Linked DNA regions of Struthio camelus. The protein of the gene in region 1 interacts with the protein of each later gene in a pairwise test. Links are inferred from orthologs where the notes say so. Each region holds a gene or a part of one and is shown on either strand. Other genes may lie near its edges. The genes, in order: MAPK14, SUPT20H and DUSP1.

Region 1 (7,584 bases):
AGTATCCGAGTTGTCTGTTTGAACATCCTTCTTCCAAGACTGCACACAACACTTCAGAAAATATTGGAATATTTGCTCTGACTTTAAGCATGTGACTTGGGTGCCTTAAGTTGCCTGAAGAAAACGCCCCTCTCTCTCGCTCTCCACTGACTTCAAAATAAAGTCAGGTTCTTATCTACAGGTGCTCTAAGCCATACTTAAACTAAACATTTAAAGTAGCTTACAGCAGACAGCGCCGTAGTCTAAATGATTTATTTCCTGGCTCTATTATTTATTTATTAACTTTTTCCCCCTACTCTCCAGAAATTTCTCACTTTTAACTCTTTCACCTTGGTAGGTAAATAAACAACAGAACATCCTATTATATTCTAACACAATAACGCAGTAGACATCCCGGGACGTATGTTTAACCATCCAGTTTAGGGGTGGCTAAAACGCTGCAATTTACTATCCCAGCATACATGTGCTCCCAACAAAAAGTCTCAAATGAAACTAGATAACTTTTTCCTGGAAAAGGAGGGGGAAGAGGAAGAAAGAGAAAAATCTCTAAAAGGACAGAGAATGCAACAAGGCGTCTTAGGAATATCATAAATATCATGCATCACCATTTGCAGTTTAACAATATTACAGATAAAAGAAAATTATATATGCCATTTTTATTTTAATCCGGACATACTTTCTATATTACTAGCCTTTCCAAACCGCATCTTTTCTGAAATATGTATTTTTAGGAGAAAAACATCAACATGGACAGTATTAAGACTCAATGTGCCACATGTCTGAAATTGCTTCCAATGAAAAATTGTTTCATCTGGCCTGCATGCAGTTGCACAATCTTTGAAAGTTTTGACACAACAAAACAGGAAATTCATGATGCAAACTCTTCAGTTATTGGTTGTGAAAACAAACATTGGAAGTATTACAAGCACAATGGAGATTGTGGGGAGGGGGAAAAGACAAAAGGAAGGGGTTAGATTGTGTTGGGTAAACCTTAAAAATACAATGGACAAGGCATTCAGCAAATTAACTTCCTATTATTTTTCCGTGAGTAATGAAACTCTGAGCAGTTAAAGGGGTATCTATCAACTAGGGCAGTCAGGCCCTTCTTCAACAGAACTAAATCTTTCTACTATAAAAAACTCAGTGAGTACGTTCAGTTAATCTTGCTACTAGAATGGTTTAACCTTTGCCTTTTATGAAATGTGTTTAAACCCTTGGGGAATAACAATTTTAAGAATACGCGTTATTTAAACAGAACTTACTGGCAATTTTATAAACCATTGTTATCTTAAACTTACTATATTAAAAACAGCACAGAATTCTATTTCTTTAAAACCGCAGCACATGCAAAACAACTCTTTATTAGTACAGTTCAGTATGCATGCCTCTTTATGGTATTCATAATATGATACATAAATGATATTGATATCAATTTGTACATTATGTTAAAGAAAAAATATGCATGTCTGCTCAAATACAGCAGCAAAGCATTACGCGCCCGCATTAGAAAATTCTGATCATAGTTTGATGGAGCAAAAGAACAGAGAGTAGAAAGTAGAATATTCATATTAGAGAAATTTCTTAATAAAAGGACACAGTAATTTATGAATACTTTTATATGACTCCATTATACAATTGCTAAAGTCTAGGTGTCAAACTGATTCAAGTTTATTTTCTTTAAGTGATGAATGCAGCCCAATTAACTTAGGTTTAATGGGCCAACATCCTTTAGTAGAGGAACTACAAATGAAGGGAGCGTTGTTGTATTTAGCATGTGTAACCTGTCATACATTTTGTTTGTAGTAGGTAAGCATTAAAAACTAAACTCTCTTCACTTCCAAATTCTCCACGTTTCTGCAAGCCTGATACTAGGACTTTGCTCTTCCAGGCAGCGCATATTGCAGTAATTCTGTCATTTTACAGCAAGAGAACAAGTTTTCCCGCATTGATCTACCATCACCAGGAAAATAACACTGATAATCATAAACCTGCTGTTACAAGTCGGGGATGCAAAAATAGCCCTTATAGCCCTCCTGCCATCATCTCTGCCGACCAGCAGATCTCAGTTAAAAATGCAATTGCCTTATAGATGATCTATCCTTCCAGTCCAGCAAAAAAAAAAAAAAAAAAAATGGAACAAGAGCTGCCAGGCCCTCAGCTCTGCAAAGCCAGCTATCAGGGACTTACCAGCCTCCATCCTTTTCCACCCCCTACCTAGTAACTGGAAGAAGGCACGGTGAAAAATGTCTATATGAGATCATGCTGGGGTGGGGGGTGCTGGGACATGATTATCTCCCCCTGCAAAAATGTTTTAGTGCCACCTGCCATGTGGTGCAATCCGACGCATTCCAAAGACAAGACAGTGCCTCCCCAGCAGTATCGCTATGAAACCACGGAGAAGAGTGTTTCTTGGCGGAGGCTGAGCCGAGCCGGGGGAGAAGGACCCCCAAGCAAACCCCCTCCGCTGGGCTTGCTTTCGCCGACGAGCGCCCTGCACGCGTTATTGCCGCGGGTCCCTACGAGCCGGGGCAGGTCTGCCAGCGGGGAGCCGGCACGGCAGAGCCCCGCGGCGGCACGGCAGCCCTCCTCGCCCTCACGCGGCGCCGCAGCACGACGGGGCAGGGGCCCAAGCACCGGCCTGACGCGTCCCCCTCTGCACACCCACGCTCTGCCCCCTCCCGGGACTCACCAGACGGAACCGTAGGCCCCGGAGCCGACCGGGGAGAGGTTCTGGTAGCGCTCGGGCACCTCCCAGACCGTCTTGTTCAGCTCCTGTCGGTAAAACTTGGGCCGCTCCTGAGACATCTCGGCTCCGGAGCCCGCCCCGCCCGGCCCGGCGGGAGGGGGAGGCTCTGCCCGCGGTTGCAGCAGCAGCACTACCACCGCCGCCGCCACCTCCAGCAGCAGCAGCGGCTTCTTCCTTCCTTCTTCCCTCTCCCCGCCTCGCTTCTCCAGCGGGCGGAGGCAGCCGTGCAGCAGCAACGCCCTCTCCTCCGCCGCCGCCGTCCCCTCACGCCGCCGACCGTTGGCCGCCGCCGCCCCGCCCGCCCGCGCGCGCCCCCTCGCCTCGCGCCGCTGCTGCCCCCTCCCGCCCGACGGGGGGGGGGGGGGGGCGAGAGGCCTCGCGCGGGCGGTTCACCGACCCCCCCCCCCCCAACCACCGCGCTGAGGGGGAAGGAGCGGGCGCGCGCGCCGAGCTGACGGGCGGGGAAGGCGGCGGCGGCGGCGGCGGAGGGAGGGGAGGGGCGCTCGCGCCCGGGCGTTGGGAGCCGCCGCGCGCCCACCTGGTGCCCTCGCCCCGTCCTCGCCTCGCCCTGCTCTGCCGCCCGGCTGCCTCGCCGCCCGCCCCGCGCCGCCAGCGGCGGGATAGCCCCGTGAGGTGAGGCGGGCCGCGGCGGGGCTCGTCCCGCCGGCAGCCAGCGGGGCGCAGGGCCAACAGACGGGGCGGTGGTGGCGGTGTGTGGGGGGGGGGGGAGAAGGACACGCCCGTCGCAGGTAGGACGGTGACGGCGACACCACGGCGACTGCCCCCACCCCCTGCCTGGCCGCCCGCTCCGCCCCGCGCAGCGCAGCACAGCCCCGGCTGCGCTGAGGCGACCGCCGCCCCCCTCCCCGGCACGCTGGGGCCCAATCGCTCGGCACGGCCGCTCTCGCGAGAGCTGGGGGCGCCCAGGGCAGAGATGACCCAATATGGAACCAGCGCGGGGGTCTTCTCGCGAGAGCGGGAGGGGGGCGGGGCCTGGCGGAGGGCGCCGGTGACGTCGAGGGGGCGGGGCGGGGGCGGTGTGCTGGGGGGGGCCTGGGTGCCCCCCCGGCTCCGCCCCCCACAGCACCGGGCTGGCCGGGCCCGAGGCCCCGGATAACCCTTGGCCGCTGCCAAAAAGCTAAAATTCCACGAGTGCTGCCCCTGCTTCGCGTTTTCATGAGCACACCCCCCCTTCGCTCTTTGCTGCCCAGTTGCCCTTAGGGCGTGCTTGAAATAGAAAGAAAAGGAAAATCGATGAATAAACTTACTTCCCGCAGCATTTCTGCAGGCCCTGATTAACATGGCAGGGTCGCTGGGGAGTAAGCGCCCATCGAGACCTTTCTGGAGCTGCCCATAGGTCTGGTGCTTCTGGAGTCCTGCAAGCCAGTCTTGGTTGCCTTGTAGTCCCCGCAAGTGCACTTTGTCCCCTTCTAGGGGCTTTACACCAGCAGTAATGGGGAGAACAAAGCCATCTCTGTCTAGATTTCCCAGTTCTGTATTCGTATAGAGAATTTTCTGAGTACTGTAATATTGCCTTACGCTATCAAAGATGGGTGCGTGCCTACTTTCAAGCGTGCGCCTAAGACATTGAAATCACTAGGTGCTGCAGGCTAAGCATGTTTTGAAGTGGAGCCCATCGTGTTTTCACCAGGTTGTAAGTACAGAATTGCACAGCAAATAAAAGAGTGTTAGGGATTTGAGTATAAGGCCCTTTGCCGTTGGATCTCAAGCTTGAGGAAGATGAGTTTTGTTCGCAATACTGTGCGAGACAGGCACGTTCTGCCTGGAACTTGCTTTTAAAACGGCGGCTTCCCATGTCAAAAACCTTCTTGTTCTCTACACAGCCTAACAAAATGGGACCCTGTCCTCTGCCTCTATGAGTCACCGTTGAAGTCCAAATAACAGGAGTGAACAAGAGCTGAACTTGACCACTGCTTGTGTCTAAAAGGTAACTTACTTTGTGGCATGCTGGGCTTTTTAATGCCTTTCATCGGCAGACTCTAGCCTCTTGTTGGTTTTGCTGCTTGTGTTATTTTATCTTGAAAAGGTGCTTGTGCTCAAAGATGTCAAAAATAGGTAAGGCTTTAAAAACTTGTACTGGGTCTGAAGATCAAACGAACACAAATGGCTCTTAAATCTATCTGTGGAAGACCTAGATTTATCTTCTCTGTAAGAAGAGGGAGGAACTGTGCCCTAATGATGGAGTGTGTTTGAGACTCTCCTACCACCAGCTCTTTCTGGGGTTTAGAATGACTGGGGTGTGTGTACACGTCTGTGGCTGTGTCTCACAAGACAGGAAAGTCAGTGTCAAGAGTCCCTGTTGCTGTATGAGAAGTAGCATGGCTCAGTGATGCAAACCGCTAGGCCTGTACACTGATCCTGGCAGTTCAGGAAATGAAATAAGAAGAGGAAACTTTAATCCCAATGCATTTTTTTTGTTACAAGTTCTGCTACAGTTGGACTACATTCTGAATAGAGTCCTACTGCTAACTCACAGCCTTTTAATATTTCCTCTTTCCCTATATGTTACTATGTGTCATCACCCTGCTTTTTGTGTAATCTCTGTACTTTCACTTGGAAATTCTGGATTTGAATCTTTTTTTTGCCTCGGCTGTCTGTATAAGATCTTTGCCTCAGATCCTGTCTTGCAGTGGACCTTTGCTTACTCGGTATTCCCTTAGGGAGCTCACGTCTTACCTACGCTGAGTGACAGAGATTGAACTCAAATCTCCTTCCTGGTATTAAAATACTAAGGAATAGGAGTCAGACATTCTGAGGATTATAAAACCTGAACTGTATCAAATATAGATTTTACACAGCGTTTATATGCTGCAACTCAGATTTAGCTGCTCCCTGTATGATTCAAATCTAGATCTTTTTCCTCCAGGGCTAGAAACGAGGAGATTTAGAACTGGTTCCCCAGCTGCAGTTGGGTTGCGGAGGGGGACGGGATCCAGTTTTCTAAACACAGGCCTGATTTTGGGATCACAAAATGGAGGGGATCCAGGCTGGTCCTTCCCACAGAGTTGGAACAAGCCCGGTTCCAGAAGGACCCAGTATTGCTGAGAGTGATTTGGCGATTGATTTATCTGATCCTAAGAGCAGCAGGTCCTTCATGGATTTCAGTCTCCAAAGCCTTGCTTATCCCTGCGTTGACTATTGGTTCCACAGGAGTTATGCTGGGATGGGCTGATCACATATTATGCTTTTTATTGTTTTGGTTTTTAAGCGAGACTTCAGTCAATGACCCTGTTTCTTTCCTTTAGCCCTAGTGCCAAGAACAAGCTCTTTGATTTTGGCTTCCAGCATTTGCTGTTCCTCCGGTTTTGACTGTCCATGATCAGAAGGACTATATGGAGCTAGACGATGATATCGTTAGGGCAGATAGACAACCAACAGTATACAGGGTCCAAAGAGAAATACAAACTGAGGAGCACTTCCAGACCTACTTTGAAAGAAACCTCTCCTCTACCTTGTGTGGAGAAATACAAATTCCTCGAGTCCACCGACGGCTCCAATGCAGGTGAGTTATATGCAGGGAATTTGGTAGATGCGAAGAAACTAAGGAGACTCTTCAAGCCCAAGTGCAATAAAAGGCGCTAACTTTCCACTGCTGGCAATTAAAATGCTGAAGTGTGTTGATTGATAACTGAAGCAGAACACCCAGTTCTGGCAACTCACACCTGAAGCATGAGAGATCAGCTTAGCACTGCACTATGAAAGCGGCTATTTGCAGTCTGCAAAAGTTTCTGTTCACTTGAGGACTCTGATAGCACGAGGGATAGATGCACTGTAGAGAGAAACTGCCAATAGTTTCGGTCCCCTCCAGCGCTTCCCTTTGCCCAGCTGCAATACGCAAGCTTGCATCTGCTTTCTCTGGTTTGTGTTTTTTGCTACTTTTGTTTCTTACATTTCAAGACCCATTTTCTGTTCCTTCTTAGTTGGGAACATGGATAGTTGCATAATGGTAAGACTGAGATTGACTGAAGTGCTTTTCCTTTATTTTGGAGCTGTGTTCCTGTGTTCTTTGAGAATAATGGGGTGAGGCAAGCGCACCGATATAGCACTAATGCTTCAGCAGCCTGGTTTTCCCATTCTGGGACATTATCTGCCAAGATTCTCTTTTGGGCATTGTACTGGGGTTAGAAGCAGCTCTTCTTCCAGAGGAGCCCTGCAGGCTGCAGGCACGCCAGAAGGCAGTCTCATTTGGCAGCATATGAGAATTCCTGATGTTCTTCCAGCAAGGCAGATATAATCAAAAATAGGAAGCTCTTTCATCAGTTTCCCTTTCAGTTTTGTTTAATTGTGAATACTCTGTTTTCTTTCTTTGGATCCTGAGTGGACTGGCAATGGTTATGGCTGTGTCTACTCTGCACAGTCCTCATAAGAAAGCAAATACAAAATCTCTGATTCGTCATTTATCCGAGCTTTCTTTCAGCAGTTCACAAGAACTAAAATGTATACTGAAACATAAAGCGTTTTTCTGGGTCTGTGGCAGGACTTGAGACCAAGGCTAGCCATGGGTGAGCTTCCACAAGATGTGGTGAGCTTGCTGCAACAGCTTGCTGCAGCCAGAAGGGACAGGACCGCGCAGGGAAAGACAGGGAGTCAGACCTCCCTCCTTCTGTATAGCTAGCTCTTGTTATCAGCTCAGCTATGTGTGGAACTGCAGCCTAAAACTGTGGATTGTGTTTTACTTATGCTACTGTGAAGTAATTTTCTGGTGGTAAGTGGCAAATGAAATCACAATTTGAGTTGCTACTGTGTTTTCTAGTTTTTCATTCATCTTCAAGACTTGTCATCAAGATTAATCTCTGTGAAAATGAGATCTGGTAGGT
Region 2 (7,714 bases), on another chromosome or scaffold:
TCATATGGCACAGTTCCACAATTCAATTAGCTATGCAGTTGTACCTGCTGTCCTACTGACACAAAATAGGTGAGAGCAAGTCTTTTAGTTTTTCTTGTAAGATACTAAGAACTGAAGTATTGCAGGAGAATGCTTAGGGCTTGATTCAGCTCCAGGTAAATTAATGAGAAGCAATGCATTAACTTCAATGGCAGATGGACAAAGTCCTAAGGAATACACATGTGATCATCTCTAACAAAAGTAAAAAAAAGATGTCACTTAATAACTAATATATAATCCTGACAACCAGAACTTTTTAAATAGGCTGTGCTACTGAAATGGTATAGAGAAACATTTTGGAGAATCTTCCACTCCCTAGTAATGCTTAGAAACTCTTGAACAGGTATTTCTCCTTACATATATCTTTCTGTTTCTTCAGTTTACATCCATCCCTCTCAGCTCTTCATAAAAGAAAATACCTTTATTCAAACCTCAAAGAGCAGGCCTATGAGCTACCTCCAGTATAGATTACGCATGTTATTTCATACTTTAGAACAGAATTCAGGGGAGAGAAGCATACTAAACAAAAAAGGAAGAAATATACAGGAAAATACTTACATAGGCTTATAATCTTTCACCCACAGTATTTCTACTAAAGAATTTCTTACCTGTTCTTGAGAGAAAAAGCATACACTGATAGCGTGCTATTATTCATTAGAACCTAATACTACAGAACGTTTACATTTTGAAGTGTTTAGGTGTTTATATGAATATATCAAACATTTACGTGTTCTGTATAAGCATACAGGATAATCCCATGATTTCAAATATTCTATTCACTGATTGCTTGACATTAGGGAAAAATCCACAGCCATATCGCCTGTGAACAGAAGAATACTAAAAACATAAGTGCAGGTAGGGTTTATACTTCATGATTAATTGTCTAATACCAGCCACGACTGAAAACACACCACTAGCTTTACATGGTGATTCCTATAATGCACTGGACAATAACTAAGTCTTTAGGAGTAGAACACGCAAGCTACAAAGGAAGACATCACTGAAAAAAGGAATGATGGAAACTCAGGAGTGCTAAGTAAAATCAAATACCTAAGCTGATGATGAATATTAATAAGCTTTTCCCTCCTCATCATCCACACAGCTAGAAGAGCAGAGAAAAAGAGATCTGAAAATATATTATTTGAATCATAACTTACCATTGTCGTTGAAGCCAGGTGACCAAACGGCAAATGGAATATTTAAGATGTTTCGTACAGCAGACAACGAATCATTTTTTTTTTTGGTCACACTTGGGGTACCGAAAAGTAAAGAAAAAAATATATATATATCACTAAGAAACTAAATAAGCATTTTAGTTATTTACATTCAACATTTCTAATTGTTAATCACATTTAAATCTCATTTGCATAGTAGCCTTCATCCAAAAGTAGAAATAAAGGTTCCATTCAGTGTAAGAGCAGAAGTTGTTATTCTAATGACTACTACGACTTTGCACAATCATTTTACATCAGAGATATTAATTAATAAAGTAATAATAAGCACATAATAGAAATCATATAGCCACGTACAATCATCTATTGTCGCAGTCTACCTAAACACCCCAAGCTTCATGTCCAGAGATGCACAGAAGGCTAGAGTATGCAACTGCAAGCGACCAGAATATTTAACATACTCTATTACTTTTTTGTCTTGCTTTTATGAAAACATTATTCCGTAGACAACAGCCTCACCAGCAGTGCCTCTAGCATTACTTTGCGATGTGAGCTTAATACTGACTCACTGCATACTGTCAACTGCAACGCAAATTAAATTTTCATAGCACAAGTACATTTCTGAGATGTTCTCGCACACTATGTCCCTTTATTGTTTCATTTTTAAACTCAGCTTGATACTTGTATTAAACAAAATGGGCTTAAATAAAAATCTTTCTAATGCCATCTACTTGTCACTAATTACATAGTTTCTTCTTAGCATTTTTCCCAGCAGAGACGCGAAAACTAAAGTCAACCTCACTTCAAAATTTGAGCATTGCCATGTCTAGCACTACTTGAAACCGTCATTTAAAAATTTCCACAAAACATCATTTTAATTTGTGAAAACATTTCTGGGGCATCTGCATTTCACATCAGCCTTGGTGCGGGCAAAAGTTACACAGCTTCCTAGGCCTCTGATGACATATTTGTCTGCTCCCTAAAACCTCCCAGAACCTTCTTACTTAGTAGTTTCAGCCCAGCACCAGTTTCCACAGAAGACATACACAGAAGGCAAATGACTCAAAGCTCCCCGTAAGACCGAAACCCGCTGGCTTTGGCGGGCGGCAAGGCAGCGGGCCAAGAGAAGCCTGCGCGGGGCGACCCGCCGGACGTCCCCCGCCCTGTCGCACAGACCAGCTGCTTTCCCGAGCAGCCTCTCCCCGGCTCCTCCGGCGCTGCCCTGGCTCACGCTAAAGCCGACACGGGCACCGAGAAGAGGGAGACCGAAAGAGCACCTCGCCCGCCGGCCAGCGAGATGGCGGGTGCGAGCACCGACACGGAGGGAGGGTCCGATCCGGCGAGGCGGCCGCGGGGCCAACGGCACCTCCGCGCCCGCCGGCGCTGCCGCCTTCTCCGCAGAGACGGGCCTACCTGCGAGGGCGGAGAGCGAGCGGATGGAGCCACCGACCGCAGCAGCCAGCCGGGAGGGCCGGGCCGGGCCGGGCCGGGCCGGGCCAGGAGGCCGCGCTGGGCCGAGGCGGAGGGGGCGGGTCGGACCCAGCTCCCGCAGCCCGGCCCGGCCCGGCCCGGCCCGCGAGGGCGCGAGGGCGCAGGGGCCGCCGCTGCCGCCCAACGGCCGCCCGCCCCCGCGCGGCAGTGGGGGAGGGGGAGTGGAAGGCACGTGACGCCAAGGGCCGTTACCTGCGGCCTCACGTGGGGTCCTGCCCCCCGCGCTGCTGCCCCCGCCGCCCGCTCATCCGCCCCCGCCTCGGCCCACGGCGGCGCCCCCCGCCGCTTCCGCCCCGCCGCTTCCGAGGCGCCAGCGGAAGGGGCGGGGCGGTCGCCATGGGGACGAGGGGGCGGGGCGGGCGCGGCGTCGCTATAGAGACGGAAGCGGCCGGCAGGCGCAGGCGAGGTGGCTGGGCCTTCTGGAAAACACTCGGTTCAAGGCTTGAAAGTACTTAAGTGCCTAATTTCCCTGGCTTTATGTGGTAGTAGGGTACCTCTACAGGCATCGTGCAGTTGTAAAGACTGGAGCAGATTTCGTTTCCTTACAGGAATGCCGAAAGGGTATTTGAGGATTTTTATTGTGTGCTTTTGGGGCAGCCACGAGTCGCTGAAACCACTGGCTCCAATACCAGGGAGTGACAGTTGGTGGTGGAAGGACAGCAAATGGAGGATTAAAAGAGTGATAATTCTGGAAAGATACGGTGGGCAAACGGCTAGGGAATCTTTGTTTAACGCTACCTCAGTTTCTTTCAGAAAGGAGGTGCCGCTGTGTGTATGCGTTAGGTCTCCCCCAAGCCTTTCTGCAGCAAAATCTGCTGGCCCTTTTCATCTTAATAGGTCTCTGAGATCCCTTAAAGTTTTGTAAAAATGGATGCAAGAGAGGGAGGTGGACAATTTTATACCTGTGCTGCTAATAACCCCACCCTTTATAAAATTCAGAAAAGCCATAGGAGGTACCCTTGGAAAGAGTTGGGTTTCTCAGAATCACAGATAATTTTGCATATTCTCTAAATGTATTGTTTCTTTATGCCTCTTTTCCCCTTACCAGAAACATATGTTCTGTCTTGTACACAGATGGAACAAATGGTGAGCATATGATCAACTTTGTACAATGATTATAATGATAAAGAGTATTGTAATTAGGTTTTGAACACTTACTGTTGTTTATTATAAGCCTATTGTAGTCATTCTACTTTATTTTATTTTGCTTGGCATATATTAGTTGTATGTATTGTTCTGGAAGTTAGTTCTTTCACTGCAGATTGTCACTGGAACTAACTAGCAAGCAATCACACGTATGACTACAGTCTGAGATCGTTAAAACTATAACAGTTTTAAAGCATCTCTGTAAATAAAAAATATATATTTCTTCATAATTCTATAAAAATATGTAGCAAATATGTTTTCATTCCTGTTAGCGTTAAAACCTGGGGAATCTGTTTCATGTGCAACACTAAAATTCTCTTATTCCATGAGACCACTGCAGAAGCAAACTAGCTTGAAAAGCTACATTTTGGCCTGAAAGTACTTGCTCCACGCTATCTGTATGTTGTTAAATTTAAAGGAACAAGTGAGCACAACTCATGACTGAATCTCATCAAAATTCATAGGTTCTTTATGCATTAAAATAATGGTATCTTTCAAGTCTAAAAACATGATTTTTTTAAGGCCCAAATACTTTAGCATCTTCAGCTTCAATTTTATTTTTAGTATATGCTACAGTTTTTAATCAGGGTAGGGTTCTATTTAGAACCCATAGCTCTTCGGATTCTCAATGTTCTGATCCTTCTAGAAAGTTTTCAGGATTTGTGATGATGGTTTTGGGGAAACGAAGACTGGTACTGGAGAAACAAATCCTGGAATACGTTTCTGGCATTTAGTATATTTGCTTAAAGTAGGAGTTTTTACATTTAGAGACTTTTTTTTAAAAAAAAAAAAAAAATCAGTGATTAACTGGAACACTGAACATCTTTTCCTGGTCATTTAGCTGTTCATTGTGCCAGGTGAACATTTTCACCACCCTCTTCCATTCGGAAACATTCTAAGTATCAGGCTGGGGTAATTTGGAATATGAACTTTGAGATTCCTGAGTAGTCACCTCCCAATTGACTGCCCCGTACTGGGCTTCGTGGTGAAGCTTACCCTCTCCCATTATTCATGCTTTTGGAAATCTTCGCGTAAAATGTCTTACAGCAAGTCAAATTTTTTTGATTGTAGTTAGCTTAAGCCAATTGTCTGGTGTTCTCTCTGTGCTCCCTTAAATCCGTATGGAAAAGTTTGAAGATTTTGGAACAGGTATTTAAACAAGTCTGTAGGTATGGAACTGATTTGGGAACCTACGGACTTTTCCAGTGAGAAAACTGGAAAATCAGTCCTGGGAGTTGGTAACCATCTATACTGCCTGACAGTTGTTCCAACTGTCCTTCAACTTGTTTACATTCTCACTTTCTCCTTTTTGGACCATATGTCCTTTAAAAAGCCAGCTTTTAAAACTCCTTGATTGCCTATTTCATTCCTTCTACATATCTATTTGAAGATGGATGCTGTCCAAGTAATTATGCTGTGAGTCATCTTGTGGCTTACTGACTAAATTTCTTTGAAATTTGTGCCACCAGATGATGAGTTTTTCTTCTGCAGAACAGGGAATGTTGATAATAAATAATTGGAGCAGTTTTCACCCATTCCTTCCGTGCTATAATTCATCTCTTTTTTTTATTCCTTTTCTCTGGAACCTGTTAATTTCAGGTGACTCCAACTCTCTAGGTATGTCTTCCTTGTTACTGTAGATTGTTCCTGAGAAGAGCTATAATACCATAGTTCAAGCTGGATCATTTCAAATGCATGCATATTGCGGGCCCATGTTTCCCTCTGGCTTTGCTCTGCTGTGTTTGTGCTATACAGGGAAGGCATTGGAGAAAACAGGCATCCTACATTTCCCTTTCTGCAAGCCCTCTTAGCATTGATTTTCTGCATTGTCATCACATCTGCAAGATTCCACCACCTTCTGTACTAGTGGCCCCTCAGCATTCCCACCAGCCAGGCACAAATTCAAATTAGCTGCATACATGAGAGGCAACAGCTGAGTTTTAAAAATAGAGTTTCTGGACTTCTCATGTTTGACGTTTTCAGTTTCTGAAAAGTGTGGATAGGATTCTCCTTTAGATTCAGACCCTGCAATTTGGGGTTTAAGCCCTTCTTTATGACCATTATACGTGTTGAATTTCACCTGCTAGTTTAATGCTCAGTCACTCTGTGCTGTGAGTTCATTTTTACTACTCTGAAAAATCTAGTACAGTATTTTGCCACCTTGCTTACTCCTCTCTTTTGATTTTTGTTTACTCCTAAAGTCTATGTTAAGACAGTCTCTAAATCCAGCCTTGAGTCTTATGCAGCCCTCTGTAGAGGGGCCCTAGCAAATGCGACTTACAATCTTGTCAGCTCCTCTTAGGTTCTAGTCAACACAGCAACAAGAATTGTATCATCCAAATTAACAAGAGTTATTGTCCAGGCATAACATAGTCTCCCAAGCTCCTCCTTATAACAGCATCTCCCTTTCAGACCTCAATAAGAAGTGTAACTTCCTTCTGTTTTGAGTCTAGTACCCTGCCTCATGTAACAGATAAGATGAACTGATTAGGCTCCATCTACCCCATGCTTCTACAGGACAGTTTAGTTTATTACGTAAAGGATTCTGCAGTGGAGAGCCATCACTTAGACTGACTGTCGCTGAATCTGAAAAGACAATCCAGGTTTGTTGATCACCACTTTTGAGTTCTCATATCTAAACAGATAAGAGTTTTCTCTTCAGGTGCATCCTTTCCTCATCCCTTCAGTTATAGTGTGGTGTGGCTCTTCGGCCTTGGATTTCAAAAATGGATTTTGTTCTGTATTACTGACAAAACTTGACATCAGTGCTTACTTCTTTCGGCATTGTTTCTTCACTGCATTTGGCTTTAAAATCAAATGATCCTATGCTCACAGCCACACAGAAAGAACAAGGAATAACTGTGCTGCTCCAAGGGTGTATTGCAGGATGAACTGTGATGTATTTGCAATGCCTCTTTTGCTTCCTCCTGAGGCTGAGGGAAAGTTAGTCTATTCATTTGAAAAGGTACACTCCTGCACATGCAACCTCAAGTACAGTAATAGGACAAGGAGTTCAAACTCTGACAGTTTCCTTTCTTACCTACCTGTTATCCTGATTGGATAAAGCCCTGAACTGCCTGGTCTGAGCCCGCAGTTGACGCTTTTAGCAGAAGGTTGGATAAGAGACATCCTGGGGTCCCTTCCAACCTGAGTTGTCCTATGAGCCTGTGATTTTTACAGAAAAGATTAAGAGCAGCTGCTGCAAAGCCTGCTATCCCCCTTGATGTCTTGGTTTATAAACCACATAGGTTACAAGGAAGAGTGAGTTTAGGTGTCGGTATAAGATTAGTCAAGGACTGACTCTGAATATGAAATTTCTATGATTTTTCAAAATTTCTTGGATAGGAACCAGCTTTTAGTATGTATGTTTCACTTTGCTGACTGTATACGGCAGTAAAAATATAAAACAGCCATGCAAAAATTGAAAGACCAAAGTATTGTAATGGGATTTTTTTTTTAGCTTTAAATATTTCAGTGTAGATTAGAAGTCAGTCTCATTGCTAATCTATCTAAATTACATTATTCTTTAATATTAACAAGCCTTCATTCATAATAGCTATCTGTCTATAAACAGATTTACTTGATTGGTGTATTTGATGCATTCATGAAAACAGAGTGTCAGAGTTCTGTAGCCATAGTGATAACACTTATCCCAGTAGAAAATTGCAAAGCTGTTTTCCATTTCCCTGTGCTGTTTCACAATGAAATGGTATGCAGGCATATGAATCAGATTTATGTGCTCAGGCCGATACAATGATTCAAGTACTATCCCCCTCATTTGAGTAGAGATGAAAAAAGAAATGACAGCATTGCTCATCAGTAGAAAGCTCTTTGTTCAAGTCAGACAGACTGTGGGCATGTGGTTT
Region 3 (7,587 bases), on another chromosome or scaffold:
CTCTTTGCCATCGCATAACAACATGGGCACAAAACAGGCCAAGTCACAGCCTTCTCCTAGATCACAGGAGATCTCAGCTCAGGAAGAAAAGCTAGTTTCTGGTCAAGTATTTTGTCTTTAAAACCATTTTCCATCTTGCTCAGTCAGGACACTGTCTAATTGCATTGCCTGAAGTCAGCAAGCTCAGCAGCAGAGTCCTAAATTCAGACTTCTTACAGCTCATCTGGGAACACCCAAGTGGAGTTTTGAGACAGTGAAATTTTGAAAGACATATGCAGCTCAATAGAAATATCATAATTTATTCTGTTTGTATAAAAAGTTGTAATCATGTAACAAAACTATGTCTTCATAAGAAGAAATATATTATTTCACATCATAAATAATCAGCAAACATACAACCCTTGGCAACTCAAAAAAGCACTCGCCTGGTGCTTTCATGTCAGTGCTTGGGAAACTAGAAGAGTTGACAGATATATACAGGATTACAGTACCAAAAAAATACTGAGGTATTTTGTTTCTCTAGAAATGAAGCCTTAGGTTTGTGAAGGCAAAAAATGCATTAATGTAAAAATAAATAAATAGGAGGACTGTCATATTACAGGGGACAGCATCAGTGTTGCTTGAAGTGTCCAGGAACGGGAATACTGGTATGTATGCTACTAAACAGGGAGCAGGCTTAGAACAGACAGAAGACAAGGAACAGCTCAGGAAAAGACAATGTTTTTTGATCTCTACGTAGACATCCAGATATTGGCTTAAAATATCAACAAAAAAGTTGGTAACACCTAGTTCTCTGGAGTCAGGCGAGCTCCTGTCCGCTCACAGCAGCGCTCTGGGATGGATGGATTCCCCCCAAAAAATGCAAGTGACCGATGACACTGTCCCCATAGTTATTGCACTTCTGAGACAATAGAAGTCAGAGTTCTGATCATGTTTTCACCTGCCTTTCAGCAGCTTGGAGAAGTGGTGATGGGGCTCTGAAGGTAGCTTAAAGCACTGGACGATGTGTGAACAGGGATGGAGACTGGAAAGTTAAAGACGGTTGTGGTTGATGCTCCTCTGTCCAATACAGCAGACATAGCAGGGCTGCCAGCTTCTGCTGAGCAGTTCGGGGCAAGGACCTGGGACTCAAACTGAAGCAGCTGTCCCATGAAGCTGAAGTTTGGGGAGATGATGCTTCTTCTCTGCTTCACAAACTCAAAGGCTTCATCTAGTTTGACTCTGTTGGTCCTCATGAGATAAGCAAGGCAGATGGTTGCTGACCGGGAAATGCCAGCCTGGCAGTGCACAAATACCCTTCCACCATCATTTTTAACAGAGTCTGAAAGAATTAAAAACACACAGTTAGCAAACAAGCCCCACTGCTTCCAAAGGTGGGAAAGCACAGGCTACTGTTTCACATTTTAGTCCATCCCTCCCTTAGCCTAATAGGTGTGCAGGGTGCTTCGGAGACAAAGGGAGCCTTTGTCCCGAAGCAAACAGCAGTCTAGCTATTTTCATTCTGAACTCCAACTCCGATTATCCTAATAGCTCCTCCGGGTCACTTTACTGCTCTTGCAAGATTACTTTAAGACTTATCCGCTTAAATTCGCTAGCTCTTTTCTGTAAGACCTATGCCTCTTGATTCAGTACTTCAAGCAGCTTTTTAAAGCCAGGATTATTCCACCCCTAGTAGAATAAAATTAATGGGAATGTTCCCTAAGTATATCTCCTCTATGGAATGAAATCCCCCGGGATACAATGTAGCAAGATGTAGCCTGGGCTGGGGGAGGATGGCAGGGGAGCACTGGGGTTGCTTCCCAACAATTGGGATACATTATCCCTGGGGGAAAAAAAAAAAAAGCAGGCTGTAAAGAGCTCATTTACCTATGAAATCAATCGCCTCATTAAACCAGGAGCTAATATCTGCCTTGTGGTTGTCCTCCACCGGGATGCTTTTGTACTGGTAGTGCCCTTCAAAATGGTTGGGGCAGTTAGCAGAGACGTTGATTAACGCTGTGATCCCCAAAGCATCCAGCATGTCTTTGCGGGAGGCATGGTACGCGCTGCCCAAGTAGAGAAACGGCAGGATTTCCACGGGCCCACCCTGAAACAGAAGGGACAGAGAAGCAGTTAGTCTCGCTGTGATCTTAAGGCAGCCCACCCCGACCCCCCCCCCACCCTCGTCGCCCAGAGCCCCTCACCTGGTCGTAGAGCGGGGTGCCGCAGGAGCTGCAGCCCGAGTCGGCGCTGCCGGGCGCGCTGGCGGCGTTCAGAGGCAGGCTGAGGCCCGTCGGGGCGGCCGGCTTGGTGCACAGCTCGGAGCAGGCGGACGAGAAGGCTTCGTACCCCCCTGCAAGAGCGGGCGGAGAGAGGCCGCGGTGAGCGCCGCGGGGCCCCGGCGCTCCCGAGGCCCGCGGGGGGCCGGGGCGGCCGCGGCGGGGCAGCCGGCGGCGTCGGGGGTCGGCGGGGAGACTCACCCTTGAGGAAGCAGATGCGGGCGCCGCGGGCCTCCCGGCACAGGGCGCTGAGGGCCAGCATCAGGGTGCTGTCGCGCTTGGGCAGCTCCAGGTCGGCGCTGCGCTCGTCCAGCAGCACCACGGTGTGGAAGAGCCCCTGGCGCAGGCGGGCGCGCAGCTCCTCGTTGGGCACGACGTGTTCCAGCCCCACGGCGCCCTTGGCGCGGCGGCGGACGATGGTGCTGAGGCGGACGTTGCAGGAGCCCAGGATGTGCGAGGCGTTGAAGGAGAAGAAGGAGCGGCAGTCGAGGACGAGGCACTGCGCGGCGCGCTCCTGCAGCAGCCCCCGCAGCGCCTCGCACTCCAGGGCGCTCGCCCGCAGGTTCACCATGGCCCGCGGCAGCGCGCAGGGAAGCAAAGGAAAAGAAAGGGAGGCGACCCCGGGTGGCGGGCGGCCGGTCGGCACTGGGGTCGGTGTCGGTGTCGGTGTCGCGTCCCGGCAGCAGCCCGGCCCCGTACGCCCGCGCCCGCCTTATATCGCGGCGCGCCGCCGCGCCGCCGCCGTTTTCTCAATGGGGCCGCGTCACGTGAGCGCTCCGCGAAGACGTCACCTGGCGGCGCGCCAGCCGCGGCGCGCCCAGCCCGGCCGGCGATGACGTCATGTGCTGCGGGGCCGGCCGGAGCGCGGCGCGCGCGCGCGCCCGCCCGCGCGCTCAGCCACACGGACCCGGCGGCAGACGGACTCGCACAGAGGGACATACACACAGAGGGACCGGCACACAGACACACACAGACACAGACACGCACACACGCTTGCATGCACTCACCCCCCCCACGGATACACACATACATACATACACTCTACACGTGTACCTGCACACAGTCATACACATACACCCCTACACATACACATACCTACAGGCACACACGTATCCACACTCACACACAGACCTACAGACACACCTGTATGTACATACACATGCCTGCCCCCGCACACATGTATTTACACACGCATGCATACACACATATGTGAAACACACATACATACACATGCATGTACCTACTCACACATAACATACATACGCACCTAGATACGTGCATATATACACAGACCTGCACACACACATGTATATGCACATGCATATAAACATACACACATATACATACGCATATATGCATACGCACATGTGCACCCATACATATATGCATATGCACACATGCATATATACACGCATACATGCACATGCGTAGTCACATACAGAGACATGTACTACCCCAGAACGTAAATGCACGTACAAATACACTTAAACACACACCCCGCTCCCCCCCACCCCCACAGACACGCAGCCCGGTGCCCACGGGCTCCCAGGGCAGGGTGGGGGCTGGGCTCCTTTGTCCCCTCCCAGCCAGTGGTGGTCCCCGTCCGTCCTCTGCCATGACCAGTGTTGCTGAGGGTGTGGGAAGGACCCTGGGGCAGCACCAGTGTGAGCGGATGCTCTAGGGAGGCGTGTGTTCGTGTTTATTCTCGTCAAACATGCTCACAAAGAGACGAGCTTACCCATCCATGTATTTATATTCATACATACCCGTACAGACATGTACAGGCAGATAAATACACATAAATAGATGCATATAAATATATTATATTTGCATATATATTTGTATTATAAGCATATATTTGAGAACAGTTCCCATCATGTTTTGTGTGAGGAAAAGATATGTAATAGACCTACAGCCTGCACAAAGTTGGATTTCCGTACAGAAAACTTCCCCAGAAATTAGAGCTACCAAGTAACTGGCAATGAAGTAGTACAAGTTTGGGAAAAGTTTTCTTTTCCCCGTGGGCGATCAGCTTCCACCAGCACTCGGGTGTTTCTTACTCAGGGCTTCCAGTCACTGCTGCTTTCACTTCCCCGTCTCCTTGCCGGCTCCTACCCCGGCCTGCCGGCCCCGTCCCTCGGGCGCCCCGCTCCCACCGGCGCGCTCCCAGCGCGTCCCGCCCCAGCCCTGCCGCAGCCATCCCTCCTTCTGCCCCGAGCGCTTGGCCCGGCCGCGTTTCTCTTCCCTCGCCCTTGCCAGCCGGTCCCTGCTCTCGCTTCCCTCCCCGGGCTGCTGCTTTCCAAGGCGGCATCTCCGTCTGCTCAGCCCGTCGAGCAACTGAAGCCACGGGCAGGCGGCGGCGGGCTGCAGGCGGTCCCGGGGCGGGGGGAGAGAGGGCCGCGCGGGGGACGGCGTCGGCGGGCGCGCGGCCCCTCCGGCTCGCGCCGTCACCGCAGAGCTGCCTCCGTTCCGCTGAGCTCCGGCTTCTGCGCCGCAACTGCAGCCTCACGGCGAATCTGTTCTTCCAACGCGGTCCTTAAAAACAAAGCGCGGATTGCGCTTTTCTTTTGCCTTGTTTATTGCTGTTCTTCGACCAGCGAGTTAGAAACAGGCTGCGAGAGAAACGTTCGTACGCCTCGGTGCTGGGAAATGACGGCGCTCCGCCGCGCGGCCGCCTGCTCGGCAGCGAGGGCTCACGGCCGAGCTCTGGCCACCTCCCAGGCGATGTCCGAACAGCAGCCTCCAGCGCTCTCCTTCCGGGCCACCGAGCAGGAGGAATTAGCCGCGGTCGACTGACGGCCAACTCTCTGCCGCAGCGTCCCGTACGGCAGAGGACCACTACACTGGGCTTTATTCGTCACCTTCTCCTAGAGAGGATTCCCCTAGGTTGACATCAGACTGTGACCTCTCTGTAAACTCACACGGAGGCTTCGCTTCACCTTGCTCCGCTACAGAGCGAGGCGGGAGCGGTCGTGGCCCCGCGGCAGCTTCGGGGAGGTGAGGAACGGCGCCCGGCTGCAGCCGCGAGGCCTTGGCGAGCTGGGAGAGGCACCGTCCTCCAGCGACGGGTGTCACCAGGGTGCTGAGCTCCTGCCGCAAGCCCGAAGGCCTGCGCGCTCCAGCACCAGGAGCGCGGGTTGGACGACTTCCCTTGAATGCCTTAATGGGAAGACACTATTTCCAACGGTGCTGAGCCCCCGTTCCCTGTCGGCAGAGAGCCAGCCTGGCTCACAGGCACAAGTGACTGTGAGCGGCTGACAATGTTCTCTCCTGTTGTCCCAACTTCTTCTTGGTGTCCCACACAAAACAAAACTAAGAGGCGTATTTTTTCCCCGTTTGGCAGCTTCAGCTTTCCCCAAGATTAAAGTAAGTGCCGTATCCGCCATCTGCATGGCTAACTGAGAAAGCGCTCCTGATAAGAACAACCTTTCCAGTTGTGTTGCCAACTAACATTATACAAACGTTAAATAAGGGCAAGATACCTTGGCTGTTCTGAGGCCGCGCAGGGAAGACGTTCAGATGATGCCTTTAGGGGAGGGGAGCCTGCACCCGCAACGTACGCGATGGCAGTAATTGCTCTTTGATAGGTTTGTCATGTAATTATGAGACTCTTTAATCTGGTTTTATTTACACCCGCTGCAAATCAGAAAGAAAAAAAAATCATTACATGGGGCAGTGTGTTCTTAAGCGCTTATAATGCTGGACTAGTTATTTCCTTGCTTTACTCTATTTTCCTTCTTTGTTTGACTAAGGTGCTATAAAAATGAAAGAAAGGAAAACACAACACAAAACTAGAGTGACTTACAGGAGCTCAGGCTGACCTGAACGACTTTCTTAAGGGTTTGATTTCCTATGTTAACAAAAGCCAGGAAATACAAAATTAACCCCTTCCTCCAAAACAAATCCGTGTTTGCATTCAGGCCACAATGTCATTGTACGAATAATAATAGAAACAGCAGCATGAAGTGCTGCGCCCTGGGTGTGGAGGTGGGAGGCGAGGCTTTTATTTTAGCAGGTGGGGACCTGCTGCTGGGGTCCCGGCCCCTTTAGGGCTGGCCTGGGGGGCTGCAGCTCCCCCCTTGCTCTGCCAGAGTATTCACAAGCCTATAATGCCATGAGAGCTCCACAGGATTTTCCCGCTTCCTGGGAAAACGACTTCACCCCCTTTCCATAAGGTCATTGTTGAGTGTTTTCTCTCAGTCTCAGTGGGACAGGAGCCCTCAGAGCTTTTCTCGGAGCCTGCAGGTCTCCCAGTCCAGCCTGGCTGATGTTTAGCTGTGAAGACGCTGGAGATCTGCAGACGGCCTCTGCGTGGACTGGCACTGAGGCCAATTCATTAACAACTTGGGGACAAGGTTAGATAACTCCGTGCCTGCAATTGGCCCATTGCACAAACTGATTACCCAGTAAAACTGGTTATTCAGGCTTTGGAACTGGTCACCCATGGCCAAAATCAGTCCTGAAACGTTCCAGAAAACTCTGGATTACAGCGCCGTCGGAGATGACCCGAGCCTGTGCCTCTCTGCCCTCAGCGTGTGTTTTGCCTGAATAAAGATATGCAAGATCAAGCCTTGAGACTTGAGACAGAGAACAAAAATGCATGTGGGAAAATTTGGAAACTGTGCTGGATGCATTTCTTCAGCATGTGTAACATTTTCTCCGAATTCAGTTTCACAACCCAGCATTTCCTTTTGTAAATATTTGGACAGATTGTACAGAGACACCCACATTCACAAAAAAAAAAAAAAAGGAAAAAGGAAGGAAAGGAAAGAAAGAGGAAAAGGACAGAAGGGTGGAAGGAAGGAAGAAAAGGAAAGAGAGGAAGAAAGAAAGAGAGGAGAGAAAAAAACAAGGGGAGAAAGAGAAAGCAAAAGAAAGAGAAGAAGAAAAGAGAGAAAGAAAAGGCTCCAGCAGTGAAAGGATACAACAAGCAGAATATGAACAATAAAAAATTACTGATGAGTTAGTACTACAGTGAAAACACTATTTTTTCCATCCTTAAATCCTCAGGCTGAACCCTTTTGCCAGGGTCTGAGTTTGAACTGCCCCATATCCTTAATGCCAGGGGTGATAAGGTCGGTAAATTAGGAGGCCAGTCCCGGCAGCGGGGAAGGAGGCTCTGGAGTCGGGTCTCACTCCTGGAGAGGGAGGCTGAAAACCTAGGCTGACCTGAGCGCCGCGCGCCACGTCTGCTGCACAACTGCCCCGTGCTGAGCCCAAAACGGTTGGTGTAGCAGCTCAGGTATTTTGACTGAGGACACAGCCAGGGGATGGGTACGTAACTGTGGAATAATAAAAGCCCCTTCATCATCGCCCTGCATAGGAGAAT

Evidence for each region.
Region 2: the proteins of MAPK14 (region 1) and SUPT20H interact in binary tests that used the Homo sapiens proteins (3 or more experiments, as listed by UniProt). The link is inferred for Struthio camelus from reciprocal best matches to the Homo sapiens genes MAPK14 and SUPT20H.
Region 3: the proteins of MAPK14 (region 1) and DUSP1 interact in binary tests that used the Homo sapiens proteins (3 or more experiments, as listed by UniProt). The link is inferred for Struthio camelus from reciprocal best matches to the Homo sapiens genes MAPK14 and DUSP1.

The regions. Positions count from the first base shown.
Region 1 is NC_090965.1:4,986,610-4,994,193, forward strand, and holds the start of MAPK14 (mitogen-activated protein kinase 14), read right to left. Parts: upstream 3,050-7,584; 5' UTR 2,806-3,049; coding exon 2,690-2,805; intron 1-2,689. Other genes in the region: SLC26A8 (testis anion transporter 1), read left to right, coding at 6,100-6,269. UniProt on the Homo sapiens protein: Serine/threonine kinase which acts as an essential component of the MAP kinase signal transduction pathway.
Region 2 is NC_090942.1:196,232,335-196,240,048, reverse strand, and holds the start of SUPT20H (transcription factor SPT20 homolog), read right to left. Parts: upstream 3,015-7,714; 5' UTR 2,895-3,014; intron 2,762-2,894; exon of another isoform or gene 2,625-2,761; intron 1,289-2,624; 5' UTR 1,200-1,288; coding exon 1,197-1,199; intron 1-1,196. UniProt on the Homo sapiens protein: Required for MAP kinase p38 (MAPK11, MAPK12, MAPK13 and/or MAPK14) activation during gastrulation.
Region 3 is NC_090954.1:8,458,505-8,466,091, forward strand, and holds DUSP1 (dual specificity protein phosphatase 1), read right to left. Parts: upstream 3,093-7,587; 5' UTR 2,830-3,092; coding exon 2,460-2,829; intron 2,333-2,459; coding exon 2,184-2,332; intron 2,087-2,183; coding exon 1,867-2,086; intron 1,322-1,866; coding exon 948-1,321; 3' UTR 280-947; downstream 1-279. UniProt on the Homo sapiens protein: Dual specificity phosphatase that dephosphorylates MAP kinase MAPK1/ERK2 on both 'Thr-183' and 'Tyr-185', regulating its activity during the meiotic cell cycle.